Linked DNA regions of Lonchura striata. The protein of the gene in region 4 purifies or fractionates together with the protein of the main gene of each other region. This does not show direct contact. Links are inferred from orthologs where the notes say so. Each region holds a gene or a part of one and is shown on either strand. Other genes may lie near its edges. The genes, in order: BCAS2, SNRPA, RPA2 and PRPF19.

What was found.
Region 1: the proteins of PRPF19 (region 4) and BCAS2 purify together in Homo sapiens (co-immunoprecipitation; 10 studies listed by BioGRID and IntAct, counting the BioPlex papers as one, with this or other methods). This does not show direct contact. The link is inferred for Lonchura striata from reciprocal best matches to the Homo sapiens genes PRPF19 and BCAS2.
Region 2: the proteins of PRPF19 (region 4) and SNRPA fractionate together in Homo sapiens (co-fractionation; 3 studies listed by BioGRID and IntAct, with this or other methods). This does not show direct contact. The link is inferred for Lonchura striata from reciprocal best matches to the Homo sapiens genes PRPF19 and SNRPA.
Region 3: the proteins of PRPF19 (region 4) and RPA2 purify together in Homo sapiens (affinity purification with western blotting; 4 studies listed by BioGRID, with this or other methods). This does not show direct contact. The link is inferred for Lonchura striata from reciprocal best matches to the Homo sapiens genes PRPF19 and RPA2.

What each region holds. Positions count from the first base shown.
Region 1 is NC_134632.1:1,994,775-2,002,323, reverse strand, and holds the start of BCAS2 (pre-mRNA-splicing factor SPF27), read right to left. Parts: upstream 3,004-7,549; 5' UTR 2,958-3,003; coding exon 2,865-2,957; intron 2,781-2,864; coding exon 2,688-2,780; intron 2,422-2,687; coding exon 2,351-2,421; intron 1,737-2,350; coding exon 1,575-1,736; intron 909-1,574; coding exon 858-908; intron 330-857; coding exon 249-329; intron 1-248. UniProt on the Homo sapiens protein: Required for pre-mRNA splicing as component of the activated spliceosome. Component of the PRP19-CDC5L complex that forms an integral part of the spliceosome and is required for activating pre-mRNA splicing.
Region 2 is NC_134637.1:4,272,447-4,280,305, forward strand, and holds the start of SNRPA (U1 small nuclear ribonucleoprotein A), read right to left. Parts: upstream 3,006-7,859; 5' UTR 2,916-3,005; exon of another isoform or gene 2,832-2,915; intron 1,882-2,831; 5' UTR 1,869-1,881; coding exon 1,796-1,868; intron 1,672-1,795; coding exon 1,499-1,671; intron 1-1,498. UniProt on the Homo sapiens protein: Component of the spliceosomal U1 snRNP, which is essential for recognition of the pre-mRNA 5' splice-site and the subsequent assembly of the spliceosome. U1 snRNP is the first snRNP to interact with pre-mRNA.
Region 3 is NC_134628.1:5,394,953-5,402,960, reverse strand, and holds the start of RPA2 (replication protein A 32 kDa subunit), read left to right. Parts: upstream 1-5,008; 5' UTR 5,009-5,052; coding exon 5,053-5,068; intron 5,069-5,230; coding exon 5,231-5,343; intron 5,344-5,416; coding exon 5,417-5,518; intron 5,519-5,642; coding exon 5,643-5,756; intron 5,757-6,200; coding exon 6,201-6,275; intron 6,276-7,003; coding exon 7,004-7,117; intron 7,118-7,401; coding exon 7,402-7,512; intron 7,513-7,597; coding exon 7,598-7,692; intron 7,693-8,008. Other genes in the region: SMPDL3B (acid sphingomyelinase-like phosphodiesterase 3b), read right to left, coding at 535-668, 1,232-1,412, 1,554-1,726, 2,275-2,418, 2,909-3,006, 4,363-4,655. UniProt on the Homo sapiens protein: As part of the heterotrimeric replication protein A complex (RPA/RP-A), binds and stabilizes single-stranded DNA intermediates that form during DNA replication or upon DNA stress.
Region 4 is NC_134608.1:53,754,049-53,761,441, reverse strand, and holds the start of PRPF19 (pre-mRNA-processing factor 19), read right to left. Parts: upstream 3,004-7,393; 5' UTR 2,783-3,003; coding exon 2,764-2,782; intron 2,640-2,763; coding exon 2,490-2,639; intron 2,244-2,489; coding exon 2,167-2,243; intron 2,097-2,166; coding exon 1,955-2,096; intron 1,869-1,954; coding exon 1,795-1,868; intron 1,685-1,794; coding exon 1,622-1,684; intron 1,537-1,621; coding exon 1,495-1,536; intron 1,410-1,494; coding exon 1,335-1,409; intron 1,213-1,334; coding exon 1,137-1,212; intron 983-1,136; coding exon 873-982; intron 735-872; coding exon 579-734; intron 502-578; coding exon 432-501; intron 150-431; coding exon 64-149; intron 1-63. Other genes in the region: voltage-gated monoatomic cation channel TMEM109, read left to right, coding at 3,047-3,122, 3,917-4,146, 4,253-4,355, 4,440-4,810; TMEM132A (transmembrane protein 132A), read left to right, coding at 5,931-5,985, 6,820-7,028, 7,104-7,393. UniProt on the Homo sapiens protein: Ubiquitin-protein ligase which is a core component of several complexes mainly involved pre-mRNA splicing and DNA repair. Required for pre-mRNA splicing as component of the spliceosome.

The DNA.
Region 1 (7,549 bases), on a different chromosome or scaffold from region 4:
TTTAAGACAATTTAGGAAATTTGAAGCAGCTAATAAATACACTCTTTTCCTACCTGTTGATTCACTCAATTTCAGTAAATATAATATGGAACCAAACTACAAATACCTTAAAACACTTCCTGCAAAGCAACAGTATCCTACAGCAGCACCAAAGGATCACTGAATTTCAAGTGGAAGAAGAATTTCAAGTAAATTTCAAGCAATGGAGAAAGCTGTGGAAGGGTTAACCGAGAAATATCAACACTCACGTGGATTCCATCTCTCTCAGCTTAGCCCCAGCTGTGAGCTGCATGTTCTTCCTCTGCCAGTTCAGGTCTTGAATGTTTTTCCTGGGGAGAAAAGGATGCATTTTTATTTCCTCATTTCTTTGGCATCTGCAGTACCTGTTGCTAATTTCCAAGTACACTCAATCCCTAGAAGTACTGCCAGAAAATATTTGTGTAGCCAGGACTGTAATGACAACATCCAGATGGACAAATCTCAGTACAGGGCTCACAAAGAGCCCTGAGATAAATAAAAGTAAAAGGCCAAACCCAACATCAGGGAAGATGTCCTTACAGAGACAATTGCACACTAAATTATCAGTAGTGAAATTAAAGCATTGCTACATTTCAGGGAGGGTTCCACAAATCCAGAGCAGAGATTTAAACAAATCAAACACAGAATTTTGAGTAGAACAGACATGATGAATGGGACTGGGGAGGGAAGGGTCACATTTCTTCATCATTGTTTTTACTGGGTCTTTTTCCCTGTGACCATGGCAGCAGCCAGCATACACATCTTCCTTTGTACAGCTTGGGGGGAGAGAAAGGTTCACTTCCAATTTCAGTACAAAAATATAAATAAGAATGACCCACCTCAATTTCTGAAGCTCTTTCTGGGCTTGTTCTATCATATGAACCAGGTGCCTGATGACAGAATGCAAGCAAAGCATTAAAAACACACAACTGCTAAAATTTCAGCCCCATTTCATCTGACATTTAACTTCTCAGAGTTCAGGATTCAACAAGCCCCTGCAGCACCTTGTTCCAGCCAGCAGATCCTTTACCTGCTTCCCTTCTCCTGAGCTCAGGAACCCTCTGCCTTCTCCCTGAGCTACGTTTGGCATTCCTTTGACCTACTCTTCTATCTAAGGCTCAGCCAACCCTTCTCAAAAGTGGACATTAACATTCTCTCTCTGAATTAACCCCAGTACTTCCTGCAGCCATACTCTACAACCTCTTCTTAGCTTTTGCAGCAGCTTTATTATGGCTCCAGGCTAAGCCCAGGATCTGTAGTAACTCATCTCCATTTCCACTAGTGAGTTATTTCTTCACAGGCTATCACTAGCCTTAATTAACACCCACCAGCATCAACAATAACCCACAACATTCAAGAGTGGGATGTATTAAACACATTCTGTTTCTTGGCCACAGAGACAGCTTTGAGATCAGCCTCCTCTTTCACTCACAGCTCTCTCACAGGATTTCATCTATTCCAGGCTACATTTTAGAGATCCCCACCGGATTTACACCCAATAAACAAACAGAAATCAACACAGAACTTGGTGCTCAGCAGAGCAGCTGAGGCCTTACTCGTTGTACACCTTCCAGGCATTGCAGCCGTGCTGGGACATGAGCTCCAGGTTCTCGATGCGCACGGCCTGGTGCTCCAGCTGTGCCATGGAGTTGTTCACACACTCCTGCCACGCCGTGATGTCGTTCTTCTGCCCAGAGGAGGGGGCGGGCAGCTCGTACCTGCAAAGGGAACGGGGCACCGGGCACGGCTCACCTGGGACACCGGGCATGGATTACCTGGGCCATGGCTCACCTGGGGCACCGGGCATGGCTCACCTGGGACACGGCTCACCTGGGACACGGCTCACCTGGGGCACCGGGCACAGCTCACCTGGGACACGGCTCACCTGGGGCACCGGGCACGGATTATCCAGGACACGGCTCACATGGAGCACAGTTCACCTGGGACACCAGGCATGGCTCACCCGGGGCACTGGGCACGGCTCACCTGGGACACGGCTCGCCTGGGGCACCAGGCATGGATTACCCAGGGCACAGCTCACATGGGGCATGGCTCACATGGAGCACAGCTCACCTGGGGCACCGGGCATGGATCAAATGGGACACGGCTCAACTGGGGCACAGCTCAACTGGGGCACGGCTCACTCAGGGCACTGAGCACGGTTCACCCGAGACACCGGGCACAGCTCAAATGAAGCACAGCTCATCCAGAACATCGGGCATGGCTCACTTGGGACACTAGACTCAGCTCATCCGAAGTATTGAACACGGCTCACCCGGGACACCGGGCACGGCTCACCCGGGACAGGCACTGCCCTGCCGGCCCCACTCACCTCTTCATACTGAGCAGCTCCAGGGGCTGCCGGGCCGCCAGGCGCTCGAACTCGTTCCGCATGATCTCGGTCTGCGGGGAAGGCAGCAGTGAGGGACAGGGGCGGAACAGTGCATGAGACAAGCGGGCACGATGGAGACAGGACACAAACGGATAACGGCGGAGGGACAGCCGGGGCAGGGGCGGAGAGACACAGGAGGGGTACGGGCACACGAGAGGGGTACGGGGCAAGGACGGGGACAGGCAGGGTCTGTCCCAGCCAGGTCACGGAGTGGGGCCAGGCGGGGTATGGGGGCACCGGGCCGGGCTCTGGGAGCTGCCAGGCCGCCTCAGCTCACCTCGAAGGCGCTGTAGTCGTGCGCGGGCAGGTAGCTCAGGTAGTTCTTGGTCGGGCGGTACCGCCGCGTCTCCTCCTCCACCAGCGCCGCGGCCTATCGCACACGGGGCGTCAGGCAGGCGGACAGCCCGCCCGCCGCCCCGGCCCCTCCCCGCCGCCGCCGCGGCCCCGCACGCACCGCCTCCCGCACGCCCGGCGCCTCATAGCCCTGATCGAAGTAGGGCAGCGCATCCACCACGACATCCCCGGCCACCAGCCCCGGGCCCGACATCTTGGCCGCGGCCGCGCGCACTGCGCGTGCGCAAACACGTCACGCCCGGCGGGGCGGTGCGCTGCTCGGGCACAAGCCCCGCCCCCCGAGAACAAACCCCGCCCCCCGAGGCCAAGCCCCGCCCCCCGAGAACAAGCCCCGCCCCTCCGAGGCCAAGCCCCGCCCCTTCGCGGCCCCGCCGCTCCCGGTTTGACTCCAGCTCCGGCCCCGCCGCTCCCGGAGCGATTCCAGGCCTTGCCCCGCCCCTCCCGGAGCGATCCCGACGTGGCCCCGCCCCTCCCTGCCCGGTCCCGCCGCTCCCGGAGCGACTCCAGCCCTGGCCACGCCCTCCCCGCCAGGCCACGCCCCCTTAAGGAACGGAGACACGTGAACGGTTGGATCGATGAGCTGTTATTGATCCACGGAACTGGTTATCGGTCCGTGGAACTGGTTATTGATCCGTGGAACCGGTTGTTGATCCATGAGCTGCTATCGGTCCAGGAACTGGTTATCGGTCCATGGAACTGGTTATCAATCCAGGAGAGCAGCTATCAATCCATGGAAGTGGTTATCGGTCCATGAACTGGTTATTGGTCCATGAGCTGGTTATCGGTCCATGGAACTCGTTATCGATCCATGTACCCGCCGCACACCCGGAGCCCCCGGCCCGGCCCTCCCGGGGCACAGCTCGGTCCGGCCCCGGCGGGGTCCGCGTTCCCCCTCCCGCCGCTGTCCCGCAGCAGCGCCCGGTCACTTTTTCTGGAGGAATTTCATTTTACTGCCTGCAGAGAAAAAACAGCATTAGGAGCTTTAGGCGAGGGTGGTGAGGCTCGGGCACAGGTGCCCAGAGCAGCCGTGGCTGCTGGTGGATCCCTGGAAGTGTCCAAGGCCAGGCTGGACAGGGCTTGGAGCACCCTGGGACAGTGCAAGGTGTTCCAGCCATGGCAGGACTGGTCCCACCCAAATCATTGTGGGATTCTGTGAAATGGAGACACTCCAGGACTCATCAGGCAGAGGAACTTAAGGTGGAAAGCCACACATGACCACCTCTGCCAGCAGACAAAACTTCTGTCCCCTGGGCATGTCCCCAGCCAGGACCAAAGTTAAGGAACAAGCATGCAGAGCAGCAACTTCCACAAATTTCATCTAAAGATACAATATTTTAAAAAGAAAAGAAAAATCTTACACAGTGTTCAGTGTCCCCTGAAGGAGTAAATGTAAACAAGGGAACCCAGATACAGAAGGAGAAGCCTTTCTCTCTTTTGTAACAAGTGAATTATTCAATAGCTACAATTAATTTAAAAAATAAGCAATGAGCAAAAGCAAGGGGTGTTCCTTTACCAAGGCTGCGAAGGATTTTGTTCATTCCAGTTCGTTCTGTCTCTGGAATACTCTCCAAATACTCCAAGGCACGGACCTCAAAAAGGCCTAAAGAGAAGAAAAAATTAAAAATCACTCACCAAATCAGTTATTCCACCATTTAGCACGTGGCATCATGATTAACAAGGCCACAAAAGGAAATCCTGCATACAGTGTGTGTAAGCTGCAGGATCAAGGAGAAAGGACAGAGATGCAGAAATTCTTTGCTTTATAAACTGAATTCTTTTGAGTAATTTAGAAGGGCATGGGGCTATTCCATGTGACAGAATTCCAGCAGCAGAGGCAGGTGGCATTGTACTTCGAGAGGAGTCTGTGGAGCAGACTTGAAACAAGAAAGTGATGCCAAAACAAGAAACAAGAGGGCAATGCCACTGATGCCTCAGGTTTTGGCTTTTATATTTTTCAGATTCTGTGCTGCTTTAGTGTGTGGGTCTGGGGTCCATATTAGGGGATGGTGAGCTCTCTGCACAGAGCAGGGAGACAAAACAATTCACTATCTGGGGACCAAGGACAAATGATCCAAATCTCAGGCCCAAAAGCACAAACAACGTGGGATGAAGAGAGAAAAACAAGAAGGATGGGACTTCATGGGCTGGAGCTGTAATTGGACAATTAGCTCCAATATGCAAATTGAGCAGAACTTATAAAATTGAGAGACCTCGTGACCAGTTGTCCATTTTTTATGACCATTTTGGTTCATCTTGGGTGCAGCCCTGGCTGGGCTCTTGTGCTGCCAAGGTGGATCCATTGAGGAGATCCTTTTAATAAATCCCTACTTTATTCTTTAGCTCTGTCTTGTGGGTCTCAGATTCAAAGAGAGAAACAGAAAGTTTCTAACCAGGCAGAAGGCTGGGAATCTGCTGGAAAATAATGTAAATAAGAGGTTTATCTCCTTATTGTTCACATTGTTTATAGTTAAGTTCTATCACTGTTCGTCAAGCACTCTGCACCAATGGTGTGGTTGTTCTCACTTCGGGACCAATGGAATTGTCTGTATAAAGAGCGGTGCATTCTGAATAAACCAGAGTTTTACTCTCACAGCCTTCTCCATCAGTCTATTCATTCCCATCCTGCCTCGACAGCGTCACTGCCCAGCTCTTTCCCAGGGCATCACCTTTGGCCAGGCTCTTGCTGAGCTCGCGGTCCTGGATGAAGCCGGCGAACATCTGCGTCTCCATGAAGCAGTGCAGGAAGTGGCGCACGGTGCGCGAGCCGTGCGACTTGCGGAAGGGCTCGCGCTGGAACACGCGCTGGCCCTGCTCCGTCACGTTCATGTGCAGGGAGTAGTGCCCCACGATCTCCACGAAGAACTGCACAAAAGCCTCCGAGACCAGGGAGTTCAGGGTCGTGGCACCTGTGGGGAGGACATTTGTCACTTTGGTCATTCCTCTCCTGAGGATGTGTGTCATAGATTGCGAGGCAAGATGCATTCAGTTGTTGTCTGTTAGAGGTGAGGCAGTTGTCTTCTGTTAATTGGGCAGTTTTCTTTATCTCTTCCACAACCAGTCCTTTCTCAGGGGAGTCATCTGCTGATAACGAGCTACTGAATGTCACACCACGACTGATAAAAGTTACAGCATCCCATTATGAGATGCTCCACCCGGAGGGAGCATTTCTACCTGGATATAATCTTGAGTTTCTGGAACACCATTATGGCTTTTCCTGCACTGGATTACCCAGAGAAACAGCTGCCTCTTCAGAGGAAAACTAAACCTTTTTCTACAGGAACTGCACCCTTTTCTTCAGGAACTACATCTTTTTCTACAGGAACTACACCCTTCTGTGGAACTACACCCTTTCATACAGGAACACTGCTCCAACAGAACCACACCTGCCACTCCAGGAGGACTGCAGCCATAATTCCCAATTGGACTGCAGCCAACACCCTGACCAACAGGGTGTCAGGTTGTGTTCTGACTCTGCCAGTGTTGTTTTGGTTCACTGCATTGTTTATTTTGTCTTTTTATTTTCTTCCTTAATAAAAGAACTGTTATTCCTGCTCCCATATCTTTGCCTGAGAGCCCCTTTAATTTCAAATTGATAACAATTCAGAGAGAGGGGGTTTACATGTTTTTGTTTTTTTTTTTTTTCATTTCAGGGGGTGCTCCTGCCTTTCTGAGCAAACACCTGTCTTTCCAAACCAAGACAAGGTGACAATCTGGTCAGAGAGAGAGAAAGCTAGATTGTAGGTTTTCTGCTTCCTTTTTCTACCTCTATTTGGGTCAGGATTGAAGGCACTTCAGATGGTATTTCATGTTCAGACTCAGGTGTTTATAATTTCCTATCAATGTTCCAGTCTCACAGCAGTGAGTTCTGCAGTCTTTCATTAACCAGGCACAAAATGGCCAACTATCTCTCGTTACAAGGTCTTTTGAGGCTAAACTATCCAATTAAGAAATGACAGCTAAATTATTTTCTTTTTTAACCCAATAACTGATCCCTTGAAGCCTGCACTGTGGACTACTCTGTCCAATTACAAACCACCACCCAAACCCATGGAGAAGAAGGAAGAAGAAGGTGAAAAACAACCTGCCTCAGCTCTAAAACCTCCATCTTGATTCATATTTATTTCTATATTCTAAAACCCCAAACTCTAAGTTTTCCACCCTGTGACATTCCACACTTCCAACAAACTCCACACCCATAATCCCAGTGCTGCTAATTAATTTTGGAAGCCTTCCCCACAGCCTCAGGTCAATGCAGTGCTCTCTTGCAGGTCTGTGCCTTTCAGCACAGAAAATTTAAAATTCTCAGCATCCAGGGTTCCAACACTAGATAAGCTTTCCCATGAATTGGTCTGAGGGAGCTGGAGAGAAAGAATTAAAACAATCCATAGGTGGTGTTTTGTAATGAGTTGTTTTCCTCATAAGATGTTTACCAAAAGGGTGGGTTCTTAATTAGCCAATGGTGATGTGTTTTAATTAAAGGACCAATCAGGTCCACCTGTAGAGAAACAGAGTATAAAAAGGAATGGGTTTTTAATAAAGTGGTTATTAGCCTTCTGACCTAGAGTCTGTGTCACTTATTACCCGTTCCTGACTCAACAGGGACACTCTCCAAAAGCTGATAGGCCAAGAAACATTTATAATGTATTGTAATTAGGAAATAGTTAATTTCTGATTGTGAGGGTGTGAATTATAACACTGCATTATCTCACCCTTCACATGAGACTGAGAATGGAATAAAAGTTTTTAAAACACCTCTCAGTTGCCCCATCTCTGGGTCAGCACAGG
Region 2 (7,859 bases), on a different chromosome or scaffold from region 4:
ATTTTGAAGAGAGTTCTAAGGGATATGGAGGAGTTCCAAGAGGGACTTTGGCATTTTCCAAGGGATTTGGGGAAGTTCAAAGAGGGATTTTGTGATTTTCAAGGAACTTTGCGAAGTCCTAGGAAGAATTTTGCATATTTCAGAGGGATAGGGGGAGAATTTAGAGGGGATTCTGGGGAGTTCCAAGAGGGATTTTGGGGCTTTCCAAGGAATTTTCAAGGGTTCTGAGGGATTTGGGAAAGGTTCCAGAAAGGCTTTGGGGATTTTCTGATGGTGTTTGGGGGAGCTCCAAGAGGAATTTGGAGGCATTTCAGGAAGTCCTAGCAAGGATCTAGGAATTTCTAAGAGATTTTGAGGGAATTCAAAGAAATTTAGGGGGGATTTGGGAGTTTCTGAGGGATTTGAGGGAATTCAAGAGAGATTTTGGAGTAGCTCCAAGAGGGATTTGGGGGTTTCCAATGGATTTTTAGGGCTTCCAGGTTGAATTTGAGATTTCACCAGAGGTTCGTCATAGAAGGGAAAGCTTTGGGAATTCCTGGCTGGATTTTAGGGCTTTTCCTGGAATTCTGGGGTTTTTCCTGGGATTTTCTTCTTTGGGGCAGCTCGTGGTTTGATTTTGGTGCATTTCTGGTTGGATTTGGTTTGGTTTTGGGTTTTTTTGGTTTGTTTGTTTGGTTGGTTGGTTTTGTTTGTCTGTTTTTTGTGGGATTTTGGGGATATCTGAGGCTGGATTTTTTTTTTTTTTTTTTTCCACAGAAATTCAGGTTTTTTCCACAAAGTTTGAGGATTTTTCCCATAATTTGAGTATTTTTCACCAGAATTTCTCTCTCATCATAAACTTGTCATGAAACAAGAAGTTCCAGGGGTGTTCCTGGTTGGATTTTGGGGATATCTGAAGCTGAATTTTGGTGTTTTTTTCCCCCAAGAATTCAGGATTTTCCACAAAATGTCAGGATTTTCCCTTGAATTTGGGTCTCACCATGGGCTTCTCATAGAAGAGGAAGCTTTGGGGTGTTCAGGGTGAATTTGGACAATTACAGGTTGGATTCTGGGGATATTTGAGGCCAGATTTTTGCCTTTTTTCCCCAGAATTTCAGAGTTTTTTTCCAGAATTCCAGTTTTTCCTCAAAATGTCAGATTTTTTTCCCCAGGTTTCTGCCCCACTGTAGGCTTGTTATAGACAGGAAGCTTTGATTCTTAGTTTGATTTGAGAGTGTTCCCAGGGGATTTTCTGTAAATTTCCAGTTGGATTTGGGGTTTTTTTTCCAAGGAATTCAGTTTTTTTCCAGAATTCCAGGATTTTTTCCCATATTCCCTGTGTTTTCCCCTAGGATTTCTGTTTCACCATGGATGTGTCATAGACGGGGAAGCTTTGGGGTGGTCAGGGTGAATTTGGAGAGATTACAAATTGGATTTTGGGGATATTTGAGGCCAGATTATGGTGGTTTTTCCAGTCTTTTCCCAAAATTTCAGAATTTTTCCCCAATCTCTGTCTCACCATAGGTTTGTCGTAGAAGGGGAAGCCCTGCATGGAGCGCAGGGCATTGGTGGCGCTGCTCATCTCCTTGAAGATGACGAAGGCCTGGCCCCTCATGCGGAGACTGCGCGACACCAAAATGTCCAAAATCTGCCCAAACTGGGAAAAAATGGCGTAGAGGGACTTCTTCAGCTCTGGGGACAGAGAGAGAGTATAGTGACAATGGGGACAGCATGGTGACAGCAGGGACACCCAGAGGACAGCCTGAGCCCCTGGGGACACCCAGGGACACTCTCAGACCCCCCAGCCCCCCCCCACCGTCCTTCTTGATCTTCTCGTTCAGGTTGTTGATGTAGATGGTGTGGTTGGGCCGGGGATCCTGCACCGCCATGGCTGGGACCTCTCTGTGGGGACAGGGGGGCTTCAGGGGGCGTCTGGGGGCTGCGACCCCTTCACCCCCTGGGACCTCCCTTTTGGTACCCCAAACACCCAAATCCACCCCAGACCCACCTATACCTCCACCTAATCACCCTCAGACCCCCTCCCAAATTGACCCAGACCCACCTGGGACTCCACAAAACCTCCTCAGAGCCACCTAAGACCCCCGCCAAATTGCCCCTAGACCCACCTCAGAACCCCCCATATCCCCCAATTCCCCTCAGACACCCCTAAAACCATCTCAGAACCCTCCAGACCCTCTCAAGCTCCTCCCCAAGCCCCCTCAGACTCCCTCATTCCCCCCAAAGTGACCTCAGATCCCCCTATTTCCTCTCAAAATCCCCCATTTCTCCTCAGACACATCTCAGACCTCCCCAACCAACTTCAGATCCCCCCATTTCCCCCCCGACCCACCTCAGAGCCCCCTTCGCCCTCATTTCCCCCCAAATCCACTTCAGACCCCGCAAAAACTACTCAAACCACTCCAATTCCCCCCAAATCCGCCCCAGACCCACGTCGGACCACTCAATTCCGCTCATATCCACTTCAGAAGCCCCCATTTCCACTCAAATCCCTCTCAGACTCCGCAAAAACCCCTCAAACCCGCTCAATGCTCTCCGAAACTGCCTCGGACTCAATTCCTCTCATACCCACCTCAAACGCCGTCAGTTCCGCTCAAACCCCCCTCAAATCTCCCCAATTCCCTTCCCGTTCGCCCTAGATCCACCTCACACCCCACAAAAGTCCCTCAAACCACCGCAATTCCTCCCAAACCCATTCCCGACACAGCTCAGACACCCCCATTTTTCCTCCAGTTTCCCGCCGGACCAACCTGAGATCCCCCTAATTATCCCCTCAGACCGCGCAAAAAACCCTCAAAGCCGCCCAATATCCCCCAAATGCGTCCCGCACGTACCTCAGAACCCTCACTTCCCCTCAGACCCGCCTCAGCCCCTTCCCATTTCCCTCTAAAGCCACCTCCGACCCCTCCATTCCTCACAGGCCCCCAACTGGCCTCCCTCCTCAGCCGCTCTCCCCGCACGATCTACCGCCGCCGCGTGCGCGGGCCCCCCTCCAGCCAATAGCGGCGTGACCTGCCCCGAACTAACCAATCACCGTGCGGGTTCCCTCAGTTACGCCCGCCTCCCCCGCGCCGCTGCAGCCAATCAGAGGCGAGACGGAAATGGCGTCCCCTGACCCCAGGGCCGGGCATGAGCCCGGTGGCCCCGGGCGCCCCGGGCTCGGGCGGGTCCTGCGGGAGGCGCTGGGAGAGGCCGGAGCTGCGGGAGCTGCGGAGGGGCCGGGACAGGTGGGGGAATGGGGGATGAGGGTCCTAAGAGGGGACCGTGGGGGAGGGGTCTTGGGAAGCGTCTGGGGAGTCTCAGGGGACATCCTGGGCTGGGCCCGATTGGGATCTGGGAGTTCTCAAGGGGGTGCTGGGGGGATCTGGAGCTCCTGGCGGGGTTTTGGGGGTCCAGGGTGATCCTGGGCCAACCTTGAGGGGGGCTCGGGGGGGGTTGGGGTTCCTGGGGAAGATTTGGGGTCCCGGGGAGTCCCAGGCCCAGGCTGAACCGGGGTCTGGGGGTTTCAGGGGGAGGGGGCACAACAGGGGTTCCCCCCGCCCCGTTTTTGGGGGTCTCCCATCATGCTGTCTCCCCAAAAAGTGGTTCCTGAAGCATCCCCCTGAAGTGGCTCCTGTTCCACCAGCCGGTGCCCCCTCATCCAGGACGGCCCCCAGTGAGTCTGGGGGAATTTTGGGGAGAAGTTTGAGAGGGATTTTGGGGAGGCTTTTTTTTGGCTTTTAGGGATTTTGTTGAGAGTTTAGGGGGAATTATTAGGTTTTTGAAGAGAGTTATTGGCTTTTGGGGTGTTACAAGATTTTGGGGGGTTTTGGATTTTGGGGGATTTTATTGGAGTTTTGGCGGGTTTTTGGGGGGGTTTACTGAAATTTTTTGAGTTTTTTTAAATTTTGGTGGGTTTCACTGGGATTCTTTGGAATTTTGGAGGGTTTTATTGGGATTTTTAGGGAATTTTGGGGGTTTTTTAGTGGAATTTTGGGGGGCTTTGGGGTTGTCCCTGGGTGTGGGAAAGGGCTGACAAGCACCAAAATCTCCTTAAAACCCCCAAAAGTCCCAATAAAACCCACAAAATCCCAATTAAATCTCACAAAATCCCATTAGAATACCTTAGAATTTCAAAAAAAGCCCACAAAAATCTATTGAAGTCCCAAAAACCCCTCAATAATTAAACCACACAAATCCGCCCAAAAATGTCTCCAAAACCACAAAAAGTCCCACAAAATCCCCCCATGACCCAAAGAAATTCTGGTACAGGACACCCAAAAACCCCAAAAAAAACCTCCCCAAAATCCCAAGCCCTCAAAGAATCCCACTAAATGCCCCCCAGATTCCAACCAAATTACTCCAAAACCCCTAAAACTCCAAATAAAACTACCAGAAATTCCAGGGAATTGAACAAAATTGCCAAAATTTTTCAAAAAGCCAAAAAATTTCAAGAAACCCTCAAACACCTCCAGAAAAACAACCGTCCCAAAGCACCAATAAAACCCCCCAAAATCTACAAAATCCCCCAAAATTCTGCAACTCCCCCAAAACCCTATCATTTTCGTCAAAAAATGCAATGATTCCCCCTAAACTCCCACCAAATTTCCCCAAAGCCCAGAAAAGCCCAAAGTCCCCAAAGCCCTGATCCCTTCCAGTCTCAGCCCAGTCCCATCCAGGGGCACGGCCAAATGCAGAGGTCCCTGAGCAATCCCGGAGCCGATCCCAGAGCGTGCCCAGTTCCAATCCTGGTGCCAGTCCCAGAGGGATCTCGGAGCTGATACCAGTGTCATCCTCAGTCTTGGCCCATTTGGGAGATTTTAGGCCAATCTGGGCAGATTTAGGGTGGGTTTCAGATCCCTTGCAGTGATTCCAAGCCTTTTAGCTTGGATTTTAGGCCCCTTTGGCTGATTTTAGGCTGAATCTGGTGAGTTTTATGGGGGATTTTAGATCCCTTTGGCTGATTTTAGGCCCATATGGGTGAATCTTAATCCTGTTTGGTTGGTTTTACGTCCCTTGTTTTGGTGATTTTGGGCCCATTTGGGTAGATTTCTGGCTTCTTTGGTTAATTTTAGATCGAACCAAGCATTTTAGGGTGACTTTAGGTCCTCTTGTATTGGTTTCAGGCATGTTTGGATGATTTTAGTAAAAACTAGGTGGATTTTAGGGTGGATTTAGGCACATTTGGGTCATTTTAGGCAGAACCAGGTACTTGCAGTTGAAAAACACCAATCACTTGTTTTTTTGAATCTTATAAAAAATAGTAATAAGATTGGAGTAATAAAAATTTGGACTAGAGTAATTAGTGTAATAAAAATAGGATTAGGACACTATGAGACAATAAAAAGCAAAGAATTGCGGACATCTGCATGCTCTCGGACACTAGGTCACGAAAAGCATGCCTTGCGAACAAAGGAATAACCTTAAAAGCAATAGCCTGTTGCATATTCATATATCTCATACATGATACATAAATTCCTTGCAAATTAAGAATTTTTCTGGTTTTTGTCAACTTCTTCCCCTTAATCCTGGTGGTTCCATAGGGATGGAGCGGAGGTGGAAGAATGTCTTTTCTGATAAGGAAGCCGTAACTCTTTAGGTTTTGTGAGCCGTAACTCCTTAGGTTTTGAGGCCATACAAGTGTTCAGAGTGTGGGAAGGGGTTTCAGATCAGATCACATCTCCTCCTGCACCATCGGTTTCACACAGAGGAGAGGCTCTTTTGCTGTCCAGACTGTGGGAAGGGATCCATGTACAATTTCACCCTCATTAACCACCAGTGGATTCACACAGAGGAGAGGCCCTTCTGCTTCCCCGACTGTGGGAAGGGATTCAAGCACAACTCCACCCTTACCACGCACCAGTGTGCCCATACTGGGGAGAAGCCCTATCAGAGTCCACAATGTGAGAAGAGCTTCTCATAGAACTCAACTTTGACCCAGCACCAACGGAGCCATCGGTGAGGGAGGCTCTGTGAGTGCCCTGACTGAGAGAAGAGCTTTGTGTGCTGCTCCAACTCCATCCCCCATTGAAGGACCCTTGTTGGGAAGAGATCTGGTGACCCACATTCCCTTGTGATCCATATTGGGAAGGCACCTAGCTGGTTGTTCTTTTGTTTTGACCTTCATTTTCTTCTGACTCAACTCCATCAGCCAAAACAGGCCTGAAAAGAAAGAAATTGATCAATGATGTCTGAAGTCCCACCATTTCACAGTTGTTTGAGAGGGAATTTAGGATTTAGAGACATATTCTGGAGGATTTGGGGTTCTGGGAGGGTTTTGGGCAGTGTTCTTCATCTCTTTGCACTGCAGAAACCAAGAGAGATCAGTCTTCACCTCAAAACAACTCAATCCCACTGAAAACAACTGAATTCTAATCCATAAGGGCTCAATCCCCCCTCAAAATGGCTTGTTCCCACCTCAAAAAACTCAGTCCCACTCCAAACTCGATTCCACAACTGCCAGAGTGAGATGGGGTTGGAAGGAGACTGGGAGAAGTGGGATCCAAATTTGGAGCAGTGGATCTGGATTGTGTGGGGCTGAGTGGGTGGGATGTATTTGATAGTAAATAAAACTTTCAGAGTTAGTGATTTCTTTCCCATTCATTTTCAGTCTGTTGCAGTTCTGTTTGCAGAGTGCCACCTTCCCAGCTGATTATGTTTGTGTCCTCCTTTCTCTCCCACCTCTCTTTGCCTGCTCTGTTTCTCTCTCTGTTGGAATCTGAGTTATTGATGATTCTGAGATAGTAGAAAGTCTCTGTCTCTCAGCCCTGCTGCCAAAGAAGAAGCCATAATTGGTCTGTGCTGGTTTCAAGGTTGTTTATTCTGTTTATCTCTAACATGTTCTGCTGCCCTGCCCAGCTCTGTCCTGCAGGGCAGCGTGTGGGGCTCTGCCCTCAGTGGGATGTTACAAACATTAAATACCAGAAACTCCCTGGGCTGGATTTACAATAACATGCCAAAATCTGTCACCTACATTGGACAGTGTGACCCCAGCCTAAACCAACAGAAAAATGCCAACACCACAGTGAAACATGGAGGACATGGAGAAGGAGAAAAAGGACAAGGCACACCCAATTTCCTCCATCTTGTCCCCTTTGAACCCCTAATTTAGAATCCTAAAATTTTACTTTTGCACTCATGCCACACTTAATTATTACTTATATCAAACACTCAGAGCTTGTAATTCATCCTTTAAGATTGAAAACTCTTTTCCATGGACAGAGATCAGAGACAGTGTCTCTTGGGGCTCTGTACAGGGGGTTCCTGACCCCCTGCCAGGGTCCCAGGCCTTCCAGAGCAGCCGGAGGGAAGCCCTGGATTCCCACATCTCTCCGTGTCTCCCTTGAGCCAGGGCAGCTGCCACCAAAAACCCTGCCCTGATTTAATTCCCAGTGTAGGAGCTGCAACAACTATGGGGGAAGTTAGGAAGGCTTTCTGCGAAATGTCACTGTAGGATCTTGCTGCACTTGGCTTTTGGCCCCTTAAAATCTTTGCCTTCAAGGGCAGGAACATCTTTTCCTGGCTGGGAACTGGAATTCCAGACCCTTGGAGTGTGTGCCATGCGGGCCCATGCAGACTGGGATCCTACGGATTGGGATCCTACAGACTGGGAGTGCACAGACTGGGACCATATGGATCAGGACCATACAGACTGGGATTATGTGGTCTGGGACCTTGTAGACTGGGATTGTATGAACTGGGATTGTACAGTCTGGGATCATGTGGACTGGGATTATAGACTGGGATCATATGAAATGGGATGGCTGCACCAGAACAGTGCAGAATTGAGGCAGTCACAGGAATCCCTCCACTCAGGAATCCCTCCCAGTCCCGCACGGGGGCATAGCCAAAACTCTCCAGAGCAAACATGGAGATCCTGGAGT
Region 3 (8,008 bases), on a different chromosome or scaffold from region 4:
TAAACATGTAAACAGAGCAACTGTAGAGAGCTTCATCCACTACAAAGGAGGACATAACCACCCATCCTCCACCTCTTGGCAAACAGATGCTGTCCCTACAATTCATCCTCAATTTAGATCCACTCCAAATGCATCATTTTAGCAAGTAGAGGGACACAATTTTTCAGATGGTTTAAAGGTTTTGAAGGGGGTCTGACAAGTTTGTTATTACTCAAAGAGTAGTTCTGTGACCCATATTATCCGGGGAGCAAAGCAAGTGTCAAATTAAACTTACTAAGACATGAAGAACACCACAAAAACTGTCTGACCCTGCCTAGGGAAACTCATCCCAGCAGGATGCACTGGCTGCCAGGGCCATGCTTTGACTCACTGATACTCTGACTAAATCTTTGTGCCAGACACGAGGCTGAAATATCCTCTCCCACACAGCCACTCAGCTTCTGTGGACTGAGAAATCCTGAAAGGCCTCTTCTGACTACAGGGGGAATTAAAGTTGTTTCAGAGCTGCAGTGTGGTGCACACAGGATTCCCTACCAAGACCTGCAGGGTGTCCTGATCATAGCTGACCACCCGAATCGCAGGGTTGTTGGCTCCATTGCTCACTCCAGGTAATGTTGTTTTCCAGGGAGTCACTCCAGGGGCCAGGAACATGACATTGATTGGAGTACCTTCACAGAAATGCAAAGCCAACTGTGACTGGAGACCACGGCTTGTCCCACACCCTGTCCCCATCACAGTGAGCCCCTGGAGCAGATTGCACTGCCAACAGCACCTTTGTCACCAGCTCCCAGTACCACCACACACACAGAGATTAACACGTGGAACCATGCTGGGGACTGAGCACAGGGAATGGGCTCTCCAATGCTGGCAAAGCCTCTTGCAGTGAGGGTGGCCAGGGAACCACACTCGACAAAGATGTTCGCCCAGAGCACCCCACACACACACAGAGATTCAGCATTGCTCCCTCAGCAATGCCCAAACCCCTCAAGAGGGAGCAGGCAAGAAGCTGCCAAGCATTAAGGCAAAATAATATTTGAGGGTGAATAGGAAGGAGGGCAGGAGCTACAGACTGGGGGTAGAGATGAGAACCACTGTTGCCTCTTGTTGCCCAAAGCATGTCAGATGCTTTTGCTGGCTTCTTAGCCGCTTTTAGCCAACAGCCACTAAAAGCCCTGATGGACAGTGATTGTGAGAGCTGTCACACAGGTGCTCGGGTGACCAGAACAGGTACCTGTGGGGCTGTAGAACATGCGAAAGCTGTCGGTGTGATGGTGCCCAAAGAACTGGGCAGCAATCACATTGTGGTGCTTCTGCACAATGCCCAGGTACCGCTCGTTAAAGCCCCTCCTGAACCAGGGCTTGCCCCGTTTCTTCTCGAAGAAGCCAGGGGGGACATGTCCCACAATGTAGACCTACAGAAGCAAGAGCTGCCCTGAGCACAAAGCCCACACCACCCATGGAGCACCAGCCAGCTGCAGCTGCACCCAGAGGGAGCAGAGCAGGAAGAGCTTCCAGGCTGGGGAGAAGCTTTATTTTTTCAGTCTTTTTAATACCATTTCATCTGCTCTAGAGGCGTTGGTCAGTGTTTCTTCCAGCCACTGGAACTGCCCCCCAGGATCCTCCTCACCAGCTGTCTCATCATTCTGGTCATAGTACAGGTTGGTGTTGAGGACAACCATCCGTCCCCTCATCCCTGGGCCAGGCAGCTTCTCACTGTAGAAAGCTCCTTAAAAATGAAACCAACAGAGGAAGAGCTGTAGATCAGCTCACATGGGTGGCTGTGAGCCCAGATCCCATTGTTTCCACCTCTCTCTGTTCTTCTTAGCAACAGCCACAGCAGGGTCACTGCTTGGGACGGTGCCCTGACCACTCCAGGATGTGGATTTGGAGTGAGTCTTTCCTGTGTGTCTCCCCAAGTGAAGGGAGACCTGAATGGGTACAATGGACAGCACCAGGAGCTGGGCAGCTCTGGAGAGCCCCAGCACTGCCTGCACCAGCTGCCACCTTTAAAGATATTTTTCCTCCCTTTGCAGGTCACCACTGCATTCTTTCCAGTAACTTGATAATGGCAGAAGAGACTAAAGTATAAAATAATTTCTCTTCTTGCAAGCAGAGTTCCAAGACAGAAATCAGCATTAAATTGGAGCCTACCTCTGCAAATTTTCTATGAATACTGCTGCTCTGAGCATAGAAACAAGGAAAATCGTTCATGGTATTCTCCTACCCCTCCTCATATCCCCAGCATGCTCTAAACACAAGCCAGTGGTGCCAGACCTGCTCTGAAGAGAGGAAGAGAGGCATCACTCAGCCAGGACTGCCACAGCTCTGCTGTTTGTTTGTAGATCCTGTGCTCCTTCCCAGGAAACTGATTCTTGGGGTGGAAGTCATGATTGCCCATCGCTGCGTAGACCTTGGTACCTGGAGACAGAGCCAAGGAGGGGCAGGAGGTCAGTGGTGCAGAGCTCCTCCAAGCTCCCCGAGGCACTCCCAGCCTTGGGAACAGAGCTTTGCCAAGGCAGCCATCCTCTGCCCCGGGCTGACACTGCCCAGGGCACCACATGGCTCGGACCCGCCCCTGGGACAAGCCACCCAGAGCCAAGTGACTGAGCTGTCACCAGCAGTAATGCTCCTTGCCCCCTGCTGACACAGGTTATGTCTGAGAGTTTCCTGCAGCCTTTTTTGCCTTCATTACTAACAACAGAAACCCTTCCTTTCCCCTCTCCTGAGTAAGCTAACCTGAAACATGAGTGTGCATCAATGCTGTATGGCACAGCAGAATTGAGGCCACCAAACAAGTCCCACTGACCACAGCCCTTTCCCTGTCTCACTTCTGTCATTTCTCCATCCTGGTTAACCTTTCCCATGAGCTTCTATGCTCCTCTTCCCTTCTCATCTCCTCAAATCCTACCTGGAAATGTCTCTTTTATCAGAGAAGTCAGATTTGCTATTATGTGCAGAACCTTTTCTTCTCCGAGCTCCTCATTGGGGACATGGGGAGTGTCATCTCTAGAAAAAGAGAAGCAGCACAGTCACTGTCTGGGACTAACAGGGTCTGTGCTTACAGCAATGAGCAGGGCACAGAACTTGCCAACTCCTCTCTGTGCCTCCTAGAAGAGAAAGTTTAAGCTTTTAGGTGCAGAAGTCAGTGCTATATTGACTGGCCAAGACAATGAGGGAGTTTCAAGAAATTGCTCACAGGGAAAATGAGCTCCACTCTAAACTTGCCAGAGTCAAGGAGTGCTCAGACAACACTCTCAGGGATGCACAGGGTGGGATTGCTGGGGTGTCTGTGCAGGGCCAGAAGTTGGAATCCATGATTCCTGTGGGTCCCTTCCAGCTCAGGCTGTTCTGTGATTCCAGGATTCGCTTTACCTTAAAACTCCTGTGCAGAAGGGCGTGAAGGGGAGGCTCCCTTCTCCTAGGCAGCACTAAAGCTGACTGGAAACACTGCAAGGGTCAGCACTTTGCAATCTGAGGGCATTTGATCTGCAATAATGAGGCAGAGCTGTTTGCACAGCTGTGATCACCATGAAACAAGGAAATGCCTCTAGTAATGCAGCAATCTAGGGCTGCTCCATGTCTGTGTCTGTACAGCATTTGTAGATGATGCTGGACTGTCCACAAGCCCACTGGAGAGAAAGAACATTCAAAATCATGTCAGAGGGCTGGGGAAAATTGCTTGAGGGAAAAAGAATACTCAACATAAGGTCACAAGAACCAATAACTACATCTAAGTAAGAACAGGCATCTTCAGGGACAGAAAATGAAAACATGAGATAGGTGACAGCCCTGCAAACTGGAACTGGAGATTACAGCAAGTTGAGACTGCACTATCAGAAGAAGGCTATCTACACAGTCACTATGCAAAACAAAACTTTTACCATCTGCAAATGCTATTGGGGCCTCCCAGAGGACAGGGGACCCACCCCTGGAACCCATACTAGGAGAGAAACATCCTCCACTGGGGAGGTTCCTCTGACTCCTGAAGCAGAACTGTCCCTTCAGGTCTCCCAGCCGCCTCGCAACCAGAAGAAACGCTACAAGCTGGTTTACAGTACTCTCCTCCCGCAGCTGCTTCCCCTGGGCATTCCAGGTGCTACGACTCACTGTGGGATCGGACAGGATGCACAAAGGACGGACAGCGTTTTGTCACCTCACTGCCACGAGCGTCTCGCCAGCGTCGAGCGCCCTCGCTGGGGTTGTGCTTTCCTCCAAGCCCTTGTTTCGCATTACAAGGCACGCTCTCCCTTTCAAAGCGGGGACCGCGTAAAGAGCCCCGACACACCACGGGCTCCGTGCGGGCTCCGCCGCCCCTGTCCCGCCCAGCCCCGGGGTCCCTCAGGCGGGCCCGGCCCCTCTCACCCGGTCCAGACCACGAAGTCCGGCGCGGCCAGGCGGCGCCGCATGGCGCGGGCGGCCGAGCGGAGCAGCCTCCAGGGCGCATCGCACAGGTAGCTGCCCCACGGCCCGGCGGGCCCGGCCCGACCGCCGCCCGAGGGGCACGGCCGTCCCGCTGCCGCCGCCGCCTCGTACCCGGGGTCCCAGTGCAGGTCCGTGAGGTGCCAGAACCTCCCGGAGCCGCCGACCGCACCGGGCAGAGCCACGGCCAGTAGGTACGGCAAGGGCAGCAACAGGAGCTCGCGCGTGGGCTGCATGGCAGAGACCGCCGCGGGCACCGGGGTCGGCCGGCACCACAATCCCGCCCTCACCAAAATCCCGCCTTCACCGGGACCCGGCCGGCACCACAATCCCGCCCTCACCGGGACCCGGCCGGCAGTACAATCCCGCCCTCACAGGGCCCCGGCCGGCACCACAATCCCGCCCTCACAGGGCCCCGCCCCCTCATCCGTGCCAGGCCGGGCAGCGCCCGTTCTCAAAATGGCGGCGGCGGCGGCGGCTTCCCCGCGCTCTCCTCCTATTGGACAGAGCCGGAAGGCGGAGGGATGCGATTGGCTGCCGGCCGGCAGAGCGGCGCTCCCGGATTGGGGGGCAGGCGGCGGCGCGCGGGGCCCGGCGCGCGGGCGGGCGGCGGCGGCGGTCCGGAGCGCAGCCATGTGGAGCGGGCACGGTGCGGGGCCGGGCACGGTGCGGGGCCGGGCGGGGCGCGGGGCCGGGCGACCCTCCAGGGGACACCCCCTCCGAGGGCCCCGCTTCCCGTGATGGCGGCAGCGCTGGGAAAGGGGACCGTGTCCCCGCCGCCGCGTCACGTTCCCTCTTTCTCCCCCCGTAGGGAACTTCGATGGCGGCTACGGCAGCATGGGCGGCGCGGGGCTCCCGGGCGGCTACACGCAGTCCCCGGGCGGGTTCGGGTCGCCCGCCGGAGGCCAGGCGGAGAAGAAGCAGGTAGGCCGGGCGGGGCCGGCGGGACGGGGCCCGGGGCCGGGACCGGCTCTGACGGCCCCTCCGCCGCTCGCAGCGGAGCCGCTCGCAGAACATCGTGCCCTGCACCGTGTCGCAGCTGCTGGCGGCCGAGCAGGTCGACGAGACCTTCCGGATCTGCGACGTGGAGATCTCGCAGGTGGGTGCCGGGGCGGTGGCGGCCGCCAGCAGCCGTGGCCGGCCGAGTGACCGACCCTTCCCTCCCCCGCCGCAGGTCACTCGTGGCCGGCCCGAGTGACCGACCCTTCCTTCCCCCGCCGCAGGTCACCGTGGTGGGCATCGTCCGGCACGCGGAGAAGGCGCCCACCAACATCCTCTACAAAGTGGACGACATGACGGCAGCCCCGATGGACGTCCGGCAGTGGGTTGATACTGATGTAAGCTTTGGATTTGCTAGGAACAGGCTTCTTGAGCAGCTCTGGGGAGCAGTGGGTGGACAAAAGCTGTAGAATTATACAGTATCTCGGATCATTGATGAACACCAACTCCCTACTTCTCACAGAGCTTTTTGAACCCAAAAGGTGTGGCTTTTCTGGAAAGTATTTTAGGGATAACGTGTCCCTGAAATCAAAGGGAGGTCCTGCTGCAGCAGAGATCACTGGCGGTGTATATGACTGTGCCTGTTTAGTATAGCTGAGTTCACTTGAACAGTTTTGGGAGGGTAACCAGGCAGATGTTCAGTCTTACTGCAAGTTTAGCATGACATAGGAATGCACGTTGTTTGTGCTTGCTTGAGATGAGCCTTCCTTGCTAAGTTGCTTCTTGTGACTGTTGAGAAATGGAAACAGGAAACAGCAAACCTGTTTTTCCCTGTCTGTTAGGAGGCAGGAGGTGAGAATGTTGTGGTACCTCCAGGAACTTACGTTAAAGTGGCTGGTCACCTTCGGTCCTTCCAGGTAAGAGTGTATGTGTACCTGTGTGTGAATCTTGTAGCACTCCATGTGGCACAAATATTCAAATAACGGTGTATGTGCATTTAGGGAAGGTGCAGATAATTCCCAGCTGCTTAGAAAGAGGAGTCACTGTCTCCATTGTCTTTCAAAATCACATCTCTCCCCCACTGCTTTCTTGCTTACTCCCAGTAGGATGGGGGGAATCAGAAGGGTCAAAGTAAAAAAACCCATGAGTTCAGATAAAAGCAGTTTAATAAGTAAAACAAGGAATTCATTCCATGCTTCCCATGGGCAGGCAGGTGTGCATCTTCCTCCTTCTTTCACCAGTTTTTTAACTGAGCATGACACTGGCTGGTCTCTCCCGTGGGGCAGTGGAGGTACCAGCTGTTTCCCTCACAGCTCCTTGTCCCCTCCCAGCCTAATACTGGTAGAGTTGTGTGAGAAGCAGGAAAGCCCTTGGCTCTTTGCAAGGGTTGGTGAGTAATGACTAAAACATCCCTGTGTCACCAACAATGTTTCCAGCACAAGTCCAACACCAGCCCATGTTACTAGCCCAAACCAGCACAAGAGGTGTGTCAGAACATTTTGGATGACCTACATACAGAGAAGGTCTTTCCCCACTGCTGTCCCACCCTCCTGGAGGAAATGGCTGGGTTGGCTGTTAGGCATTGTCATGTTGCTGTGCTGTAAATTGTTTTCTTTGTTTTGTGTTTGTTTTTTTCCTCTGAAAGAATAAGAAGAGCTTGGTAGCATTTAAGATCATGCCTCTGGAAAATATGAATGAGTTCACCACACACATACTGGAAATTGTCAATGCACATATGATCCTCAGAAAAAATCTTATGGTACGTACAAAGACCCTGATTTTATTGTGGCCCTTCCTGGGTGACTGGTGATCTCCCAAAGAGGGACCTTTCACTGGGAAAATTCCTTCATTTTGGGGCTGGAAAGCTTAAAGCTGAGCAACGCTGAAGGTGTAACAGGAGTCCTGGCTTCCTTGGAGAGAGATTGCAATCCACTTCCATAAGAAGCTATTTTTACTTACTGGCTTAGAAATAACAGTGAGTCTTTAACACTGCAGGCTTGGGCAGCCTGGGTAACCACAGCACTTTTGTTCTCCTAATTCCAGTCAGCATCAAGAGGGCCACAGTCATTTTCCTCCACTGGGATAAGTGACATGGGGGGCTACGGAGGAGGTGGCAGCCTGCCAGTGAACGGGCTCACGGCGCACCAGAGCCAGGTGGGTGCCAGCAGCTCTTCTGGGAGCACAGCAGTGGCAGCAGAGGCTGCTCCAGTGTGATCTAGTGTGGTTCTTGCTCATCCAGGTGCTGAACTTGATCAAAAGCTGCCATGTCCCAGAGGGAATGAGTCTACAGGACTTGAAGTTCCAGCTCCACAGTATGAGTATGTCAACAATCAAGTAAGTGTGTAGAAATGAAGGATGCTATGGAAATCCAGGCAGTCCTTCCAGAGGCAGAGAACAGTGGACAAGTCCAGACACTCACCTGTGAGTCAGGGTGGGTAATTCAGGTGGTCCCAGCAGCACAGGAGCCAGAGCTGTTGAAAGATTCACTGCCCTGAATGAGCTGTTGCCAGTTGCTTTGCTCCTTGTTTTCAAAACAAGCCTTTTATCAGTTCAGTGGCAACGTACTGCAGTGCCTCAGTAGCATTTCTCCTGTTCAAAGACTACCTTGTTCTCTGCACACTGATAAAAATCTAGGAATAGTCTCTCCTAT
Region 4 (7,393 bases):
TCCCCAAGCCAAGCTCAGACAACCCCAAACCCCTGTTCCCGCACATTCCCATTCAGCCCTTACCTTCAGATCCCAGATCTTGATTTGGGAATCCATCGTTCCCGTCCCAAAAATGAGCCCGTCCGGGTGGAACTGGGCACAGGTGAGAGCTGCGGAGACAGCAGGAGAATCAGATGCTTAGGAAGACTCAGAGAGCTGGGAAGACTCCCAATAGTGTTGGGAAGATTTGGAAGGCTCAGGAGGGTTGGGAAGATACAGGGAGTTGGGAATATTTTGTGAGCTAGTAACACTCAAGAAGGTTGATGAGATTGGAAGGGTTGGGAAGACTCAGGAAGGTTGGGAAGGCTACCATGCCCACCCCCAAAGGAGCTCTCATGAACTCCAGGAGCCAAGGGATGCCTGGAATGGGGATAATCAATTCCAAAGCTTACCACATCCAGAGCTCTCATCTGTCACCTTGGTGAGGACACGGCCTGTCTGGATATCCGAGAAAGCCCAGTACTGGGAGAGAGGAAGAGCGTTGGATACAGGAGGGGCGGGAAGCAAAGGTGGGATGTGTGGGATGGGGAGGGATTCACCTGGTCATCCGAGGAGCTGAGCAGGTAATCACCCGTGGCGTGGAGGCTGAGCCCGGTCACGGAGCCCTCGTGGGCACGGACCACCTGGACACAGGAGGCGTTGGGAACGGACCAGATCCGGATCGTGGCGTCGGGAGAAGCCGAGAACACCAAGTCCTACACAAGGAGAACACCAGAAGGTTCACACGGGAAGAATTCACCTCTGCGAGAGCTCCCAGCAGGAGATTCCACCAGAGGAGGGTCCTGATACCCAGATCTGAGGAATCCTGGAAGTGAGGAAAGAGCCAGACGCACCTGGGATGGGTGGAAGACGACGCTGGTGACTTTCTTGGTGTGGCCCTTGAGCGTGGCCAGGATCTGCTCCGAGCTCTTGTCGAACACGATGACGTTTTTGTCGGCTCCACCTGGAAAACCGAGCGGGAAGCGCTGGGATGGGAGTGCAGGGCCAAGCAACTCCAAATCCACCTGCCTTATGTCCCTTGTGCCCCTTCAAACTCCCAAAAACACAGAGAAGGAGACCCACTCTCAAGTGGGAAACCCCCAGGAAAGCTCCCTTACCAGTGAGGATCTTGTTGGTGTCGGAAGGACACAGATCCAAGGCAAGAATTCCTGGGATGCTGGCACTGTGCAGCCCCTATGTGAGAGAGGAGAACTCCAAATTAATGCCACGAGCAGCAAAACATCCCACGAGGAATCAAAAAGGGATTCCCAGCTCCACGTAGGAGTTTCCCAGTCCTTTCCCATCCCGGCACTCACCACGTGTGAGGCCACCTGCCGGTACTTGCTGAGCTCCTCCGGCTTCACCAGCTCCTCCGGGACCGTCTTGCCCCTCTGGAAAATACAGGGATAAACATCAGCCTTGGCTGGAGCACGGCACATCCCAGCTCCCTCCAAATCCTTGGGTAAGTCCACTCACCTTCTTACGCTCCGTGGTCAGCACCGTGGCCTTGTCTTGGAGCTGGAAAACAAGAGGAGGGTGGGCACAGACCGGGAATTCTGCGATGGGAAGGTGGAGAGGGCAACACGCGGAAGGCTGTCCCTACCTTCTGGATGATCTCCGGCGTCATTCCCGCCAGCTCTCCCAGATCCATGGCCTCGCCAGCGCCCTGTGTGGCACAGAGGGAAGAGACGTGCAGAGAGGGAATGCGGGAGCAGTGAGTGGGAAAAGGGTTGGGAATGAAAGGGAAAAGGACCAGGATGGGGAGCAGGAACTCACGGCCACGTTGGGCTGCGCTGACGGCACCGCCTGGGGCACGATGAGCCCGGCCTGAGGCTTCAGTGTGGCCAGAGCTGCAAAAACACAACAGCTTTAAAGGAAAACCGGGATACAGCACTTCCCAGCACCCCTTCCCAGGAACGCCACGCGTCTGTGTCACCTTCTCTGGCGGCAGTGACCTCCTTGGTGAGGCGGGCGATGACCCTGCAGGCAGCATCGTGCTGGTACAGGGCGTGGGACAGCTCCTGGCGCGTGGTCTGCAGCTGCTGGCGCAGCGTGAAGCTGTGCAGCATCACGGCGTCCTGCCGGGGAGCACCCGAGTCAGCCAGGGAGCGGCGGGACCCCGGCCCCGGCAGCCCCCCCGGCACTCACCCACTCGTCCTGCAGGGCTTTCAGGATGGCCGGGATGCTGGTGGCCGAGGGGGGCTTGGGCCGGATCGGGTGGGCGACTGGAAGAAAGATGGACACGTCACCCGCGTCCCCGATATCCCTACGGATCACCGCGTTCCCATCCCTCACCTTTCCCGTTCCACCATCCCTCCTTTACCCTCTCCTTCCCAGCCTCCACAGCCGAGTTTGGCATCTCAGCCCCAGCTCAGCAAACCCCAAAGCGCCTCGGGCGCCGCCATTCCCGCCCCCGGGAGAGCCGCTCTTCCCGGGAGAGCTTTTCCCACTCCCGTTCCCAATCCCGGCACCTTTGATGTCGATGAGCTGTTCCTCGGACAGCGGCTGGTTGTTGACGGGGTCGGTGCCGTTCTCCGCGATGTACTTCTCGATCAGCCGCCGCTCGTACACGTGGTTGGACACCGGCGACACACACGGGTGCTCCGGGACCTCGTTGGAAACTGAGGGCGAAAGGGAACGGCGGGATGGGACGGGAACGGGGGCTTGGGAACTCCCAGCCCGGTGATCCCCCGGTGACCCCGGCTGGGATCCCCCATTCGGTAACTCTCGCCCCGCCGCACTCACTGGAGCAGATGAGCGCCATGGCGGAGGCCGGGCGGTCGCGGCGCTCCGGTTACGGCCCCGCTGCCCTTCCGAGGCTGTTTCCGGTTCTCCTTTCCGGTCCGGGGTCCCGGTTCCGGTTCCGGTTGGCGCGCGCGGCCCCCGCGCCGCTCCCGAGCGCTCACGCGGGCGCCGCCGCCGGAACCGGAAGCGCTCCAGGCATCCCCCGCGCTCCCCCCTTCCCCGCCGGCGGGAACGGCGCTTCCCGGCGTGCACCGCGCGCCGCCGCCCGCCTGCGGCTGTTGCCATGGTGACGGCGTTCCCGGCACGCCCCGCGGCGGCCCCGGGGACTACAGCTCCCGGCGTGCCCCGCGGCCGAGCCGAGGGAAGCCCCGGTGAGGGGGGGTCGGGGGGGACCCCGGGGTGGGGGCTGGAATTCGGGGAAAATCGGGGGAAATTCGGGGAAAGTGGGGGGGAAATGGAGGGGAAATGGGCGGGGGGGGGCTCCAGGAGGGGATAGGCGGGATGAGGGAGCCGCGGTGGGGGTTCCTGGGGGGATCCCGGGGGAATCCTGAGAGGTGGGGGGGGACAGTGGGAGGTGGGTACAGAGGGGCCTGGGGGGATCCTGGGGGGATCAGAGGGATCCCAGAGACCGCGGAGATGTGGGTGGGGTGCGCACAGAGGGATTTGGGGAGCCAGTGGGCGCTGGGGAGATCCAGGGAGGATTGGGGGGATTTTGGGGATCGCGAAGGGTGGAGGGCCCTGAGGGGGGGCGGGCACAGGGGCGATCGGGGGTTCCAGGGGAATGGGGGAACTGGGCGGGGCTGGGCACACTGGGACTGGGGGGATCCCGGGGGGATTGGGGAGAAGTGGGGAGCACGGGGGGGTCTCAGGAGTGGCAATGGTGGCGGTGTCCCATCCCGGAGCACCCCGCTCCCTCCTTTGGGAAGGACTGCCCCCCCTTCCCAGCCAGGCCCGGCGCCCTTGGCTGTGTCCCGCTGACTTGTCAATCCCAAAAATAGCCGGGACAGCCAGGCCTGTGCTGGGGGGGGGCATGGAACTGGGCTCTGGGGCCTCCAGCCTCCCCTCCTGCCTGGGGAACCCCAAAACCAGCAAGTGGACTCCAAAACCAGCAGGGTTTTCCCCTCCCAGCACCCCCACATCTCTCTTTCCCCACAGATCCCGGGTTCCAGGATGGGGAGTGCCGTGGGGCACCGGGCCCTGCTGGCCCTGCTGCTGTGGATCCCATTCCTCATGGGATCAGTGGGGGATGGAGCCAAGGATGGCCAGGAGGGATTCCGGGGACACGTCACCACCTCCGATGACCTGCTGCTCCGGCTGGGAAGATCCACTTGGGACACCCTGGAGAGCTGGGTGGGACGCCAGCCCCTGCAGATGGTGGCGGAGGTGGGATCCTGATTCCCAACCCTTCCCTGGAGTTCCTCGTGCAGGGACATGGGGGGGGTCTACATTTTCTTTTCCTGCTTCCTTATCCCACCATCTTTCCCCACAGAGCCTCTCCACCGCCCTCTGGATCCTTTCCTCTGGGATCTCAGCAGCCCTGACCACACTCTGTGGGATCCTGGGGGATCTCCTGGCCACTTCCAGCATCAATGGTGAGTGGGACTCACCCCGTGGGATGGCTCTGGCCCCCATTCCTGGTGCCACCGCCATAGCTGACTCCCAGCTCCCATTCCCAGGCCACCGGCTGGTCCGAGCGGCAGCGCTATCTCCCGGAGAAGTCCAGAGGGTGCTGCTGTGGGCAATGGTCGCTCTGGTGGGATCCTGGATGCTAGCCCGGCTTCGAGGGCTGCTGCTCCCACTGCTCCGGGGGCTGAAGCTTTTCTTTTTCCTCGGCGCCTTCCTGCATGTGGCCGCTTCCCAGGAGAGCCCCACGGTGCAGGCGGGAATGCTGGTGGGCCTGTGGGTGCTCTACACCTTCCTGGGCAGCCTGGTGGCAGCCCCGGATCCCAGCACCCGGCTGGATGCGGCCGTCAAGAGCCTGGAGTGGAAGGTGGAGGAGCTGCGGCGGCGCCAGAAGTTCGGGGGGCCCCGGAACCGGGAGGATTGAGGCCCCCTAAAGCTTGCTCAGAGCTTGGCTCCGTCATCCTAAGCATCCCAAGCGTGTGTCCCCCCGCTCCACTGAGCCCCCCGCACCCCCTCCTCTGCTTTCCGGTTCTCCCAGGGTCCTGGGAGCGCCCCATCCATCTGGGAGGGGCCCAAAAATCAGGGGCTGTGCCTTGCCACATGTGCCACAAGTGCCTTCACCCCAAAAGCCAGCCAGCCACGCACCCCAAATGTGGGAGAGGAGCTCCCACATTCCCTGCTCGCCAGGGATGTTGTCCCAGCCGGCTTGGGGTGCAGAGGGGATCCCATTCCCCATCCCGGGGGTTCTGCTTGTTTTGGGGTCCCCCCACTGTCAGGTTTTGGGTTTTCAAGCTGCTTTTTAAACGGTTTTGATAATGTGGTTTGGAATAAAGAGGGATTTATCCGGCCTGGCCCCGCTGCTTTCCCATGGGAAGGGGGTCAGGCCTCAGAGCTGGCCCCCCAGTCCATTTGGGGTGGGAAGGGAGGAGGAGGAAGAGCAAGAGGAGGAGGAGGAAGAGGAGGGTGGTTTGTCCATGCCAGGATCCCACTGCCCTCCAGCTGCTCCTGCTGTGCTTCCCGCTGGCTCTGTGCCCCTTGCCATGGATGTCCTTATCCTTCCCATGTCCCCGGTATCCCTGGTGGAAGAGGGGAAGATGGATGGCAGCTGAGGGAAGAATTCCCAACCCTCCTGCTCTGCTCCATGGGTCTCCCTGTGGCTTGGGGTGTCCGGTGCTGGGTGGGGCTGGGAATGGGATGAGGAGCAGGGATTGGCATGGGGATGAGGAAGAGGAGCAGAGATGGGGATAGGGAGTGGGATGAGGGTCAGAATGGGGAGCAGGGATGGGAATGGGGAGCAGGAGGGGGAGCAGGGATGGGAATAGGGCGTAGGATGGGATGTGGTTCGGGCTGTGGAGCAGGAGCCAGAGCCCCGGGCACGGCCGGGCTTTAGGACCCGGCGGGACAAGGCGGCGCCGGTGCCGGTCCCGCCCCGGCCCCATTGTCTCGGCGCGGGGGCGGAGGGACGGGAGGCACCGGCGGAGCGACAGGAGGCACCGGCGGCACCGGTACCGCCGGCACCGGCGGAGGGACCGAGCCCTCCGGCCATGGCCTCGGCGCCCCGGCTGGCGCTGCTGGCCGCCGCCCTGCTCTGCGCCCCGGGTAAGTGGGAACGGCACCGAGAACGGCATCGGGAACGGCAGCTGGCATCGGGAACGGCACCGGGCACCGACCCCGACCCGCTCCGCACCCCTCCCGCCGTCCTGCCGGGATTCGCTCCCGCGTGGTTCCGCAGCCCGGGTCGATTCTCTCCTTTCCCCACGTTCGAGGTCCCTCCGTTCCGCCAGGATCCCGGGAGCCGGGGCAACCTCACCCCCTCCTTCTCCGCGTTCCCCGGGATCCACGTCCCCCATTCTGCGGGGATCCGTGCCCCCTCCCCCGCCTGGGATCCCGAGGGGGTCACCCAGGCAACGTGGGATCCGCTGGGATCTCGAGGGGGGATTCTCCTCCCAGTCCCCACGGGAACCCGCCGCCCGAGGGACTCCCCCCCGCATCCCGGGATCTGCCTGGCTTCTCCCCGCACACCTGATCCCCTAGGTGGGATCAAATCCCAGCCGTGAGGAAGCCCTGCATGGGCATCCAGGTGGGATCTGCTCCCTGTAATGAGGGATCCCTTTGATCTGGGCACCATGAGGACACCATGAACCTGGATCCCACCCTGCAGGACACGGTGCCAACGCTCTTCCCAGTGGGGAGTGCATTCCCACAGGGAACAGCCAGGACTGGGGGAACCGAGTGGCCCCCCCAGTCCTGATGCAGGGATGGGATAACCCTGGGATAACCATGGCAGGGGTGACCTCAGAATGAGGTGGCCCAGGCAAGGGGTGACCCTGTGTGCTGCTGCAAAGGTGGGCACAAAGACCCCCACCTGCCACTCTTGTGCATTCCCATTCCCACTGTGTCCCTGCGGGATGTGACACGTCCTTGTCCCTGCAGTGAGGGGTGACGGGGAGCCCCCGGATCCCGTGTTCCTGCCGGCGGAGCTGGAGGTCCTTGGAGTGCCCGAGTCCTACCGGCTGCAGAGGGTGGATCAGGACGTGGCACCCAACTCTTCCCTGCACACCCGCTCCGAGACATTCCTGCTGCTTCGTGCTGGATCCCAGGCCCTGGTCCAGGCCACCTATGCCCCGTTCAGCATCCGCCAGGTAACCAGGACTCCTGTGTTCCCTGGGCCACCCCAGGGTGTCCCGGCCCCCACCACCATCCCGGTGTCCTTACAGGAGGTGTCCATGGAGAGCCCCCCCGGCTCAGCAGCTTGGGCCATCCGCGCCGTGTCCCTGGAGAGCTCTGTGTCCCCTGCTGAGCCAGTGGCACGTGTCCTCTTCCATCTGCACGGGCCCGACTGGATGGCTGGGAAGCAGGATCATGCCGGGACTCTGAATGATCCCAAGGACTGGGACCATCCCGGCGTCTGGGATCACCCTGAAGTCCGAGACCACCCTGGGGTCCAGGATCACCCCAGGAACCAGGATCACACTGGGGATCGTGACCACCCCAGGGACCAGGACCA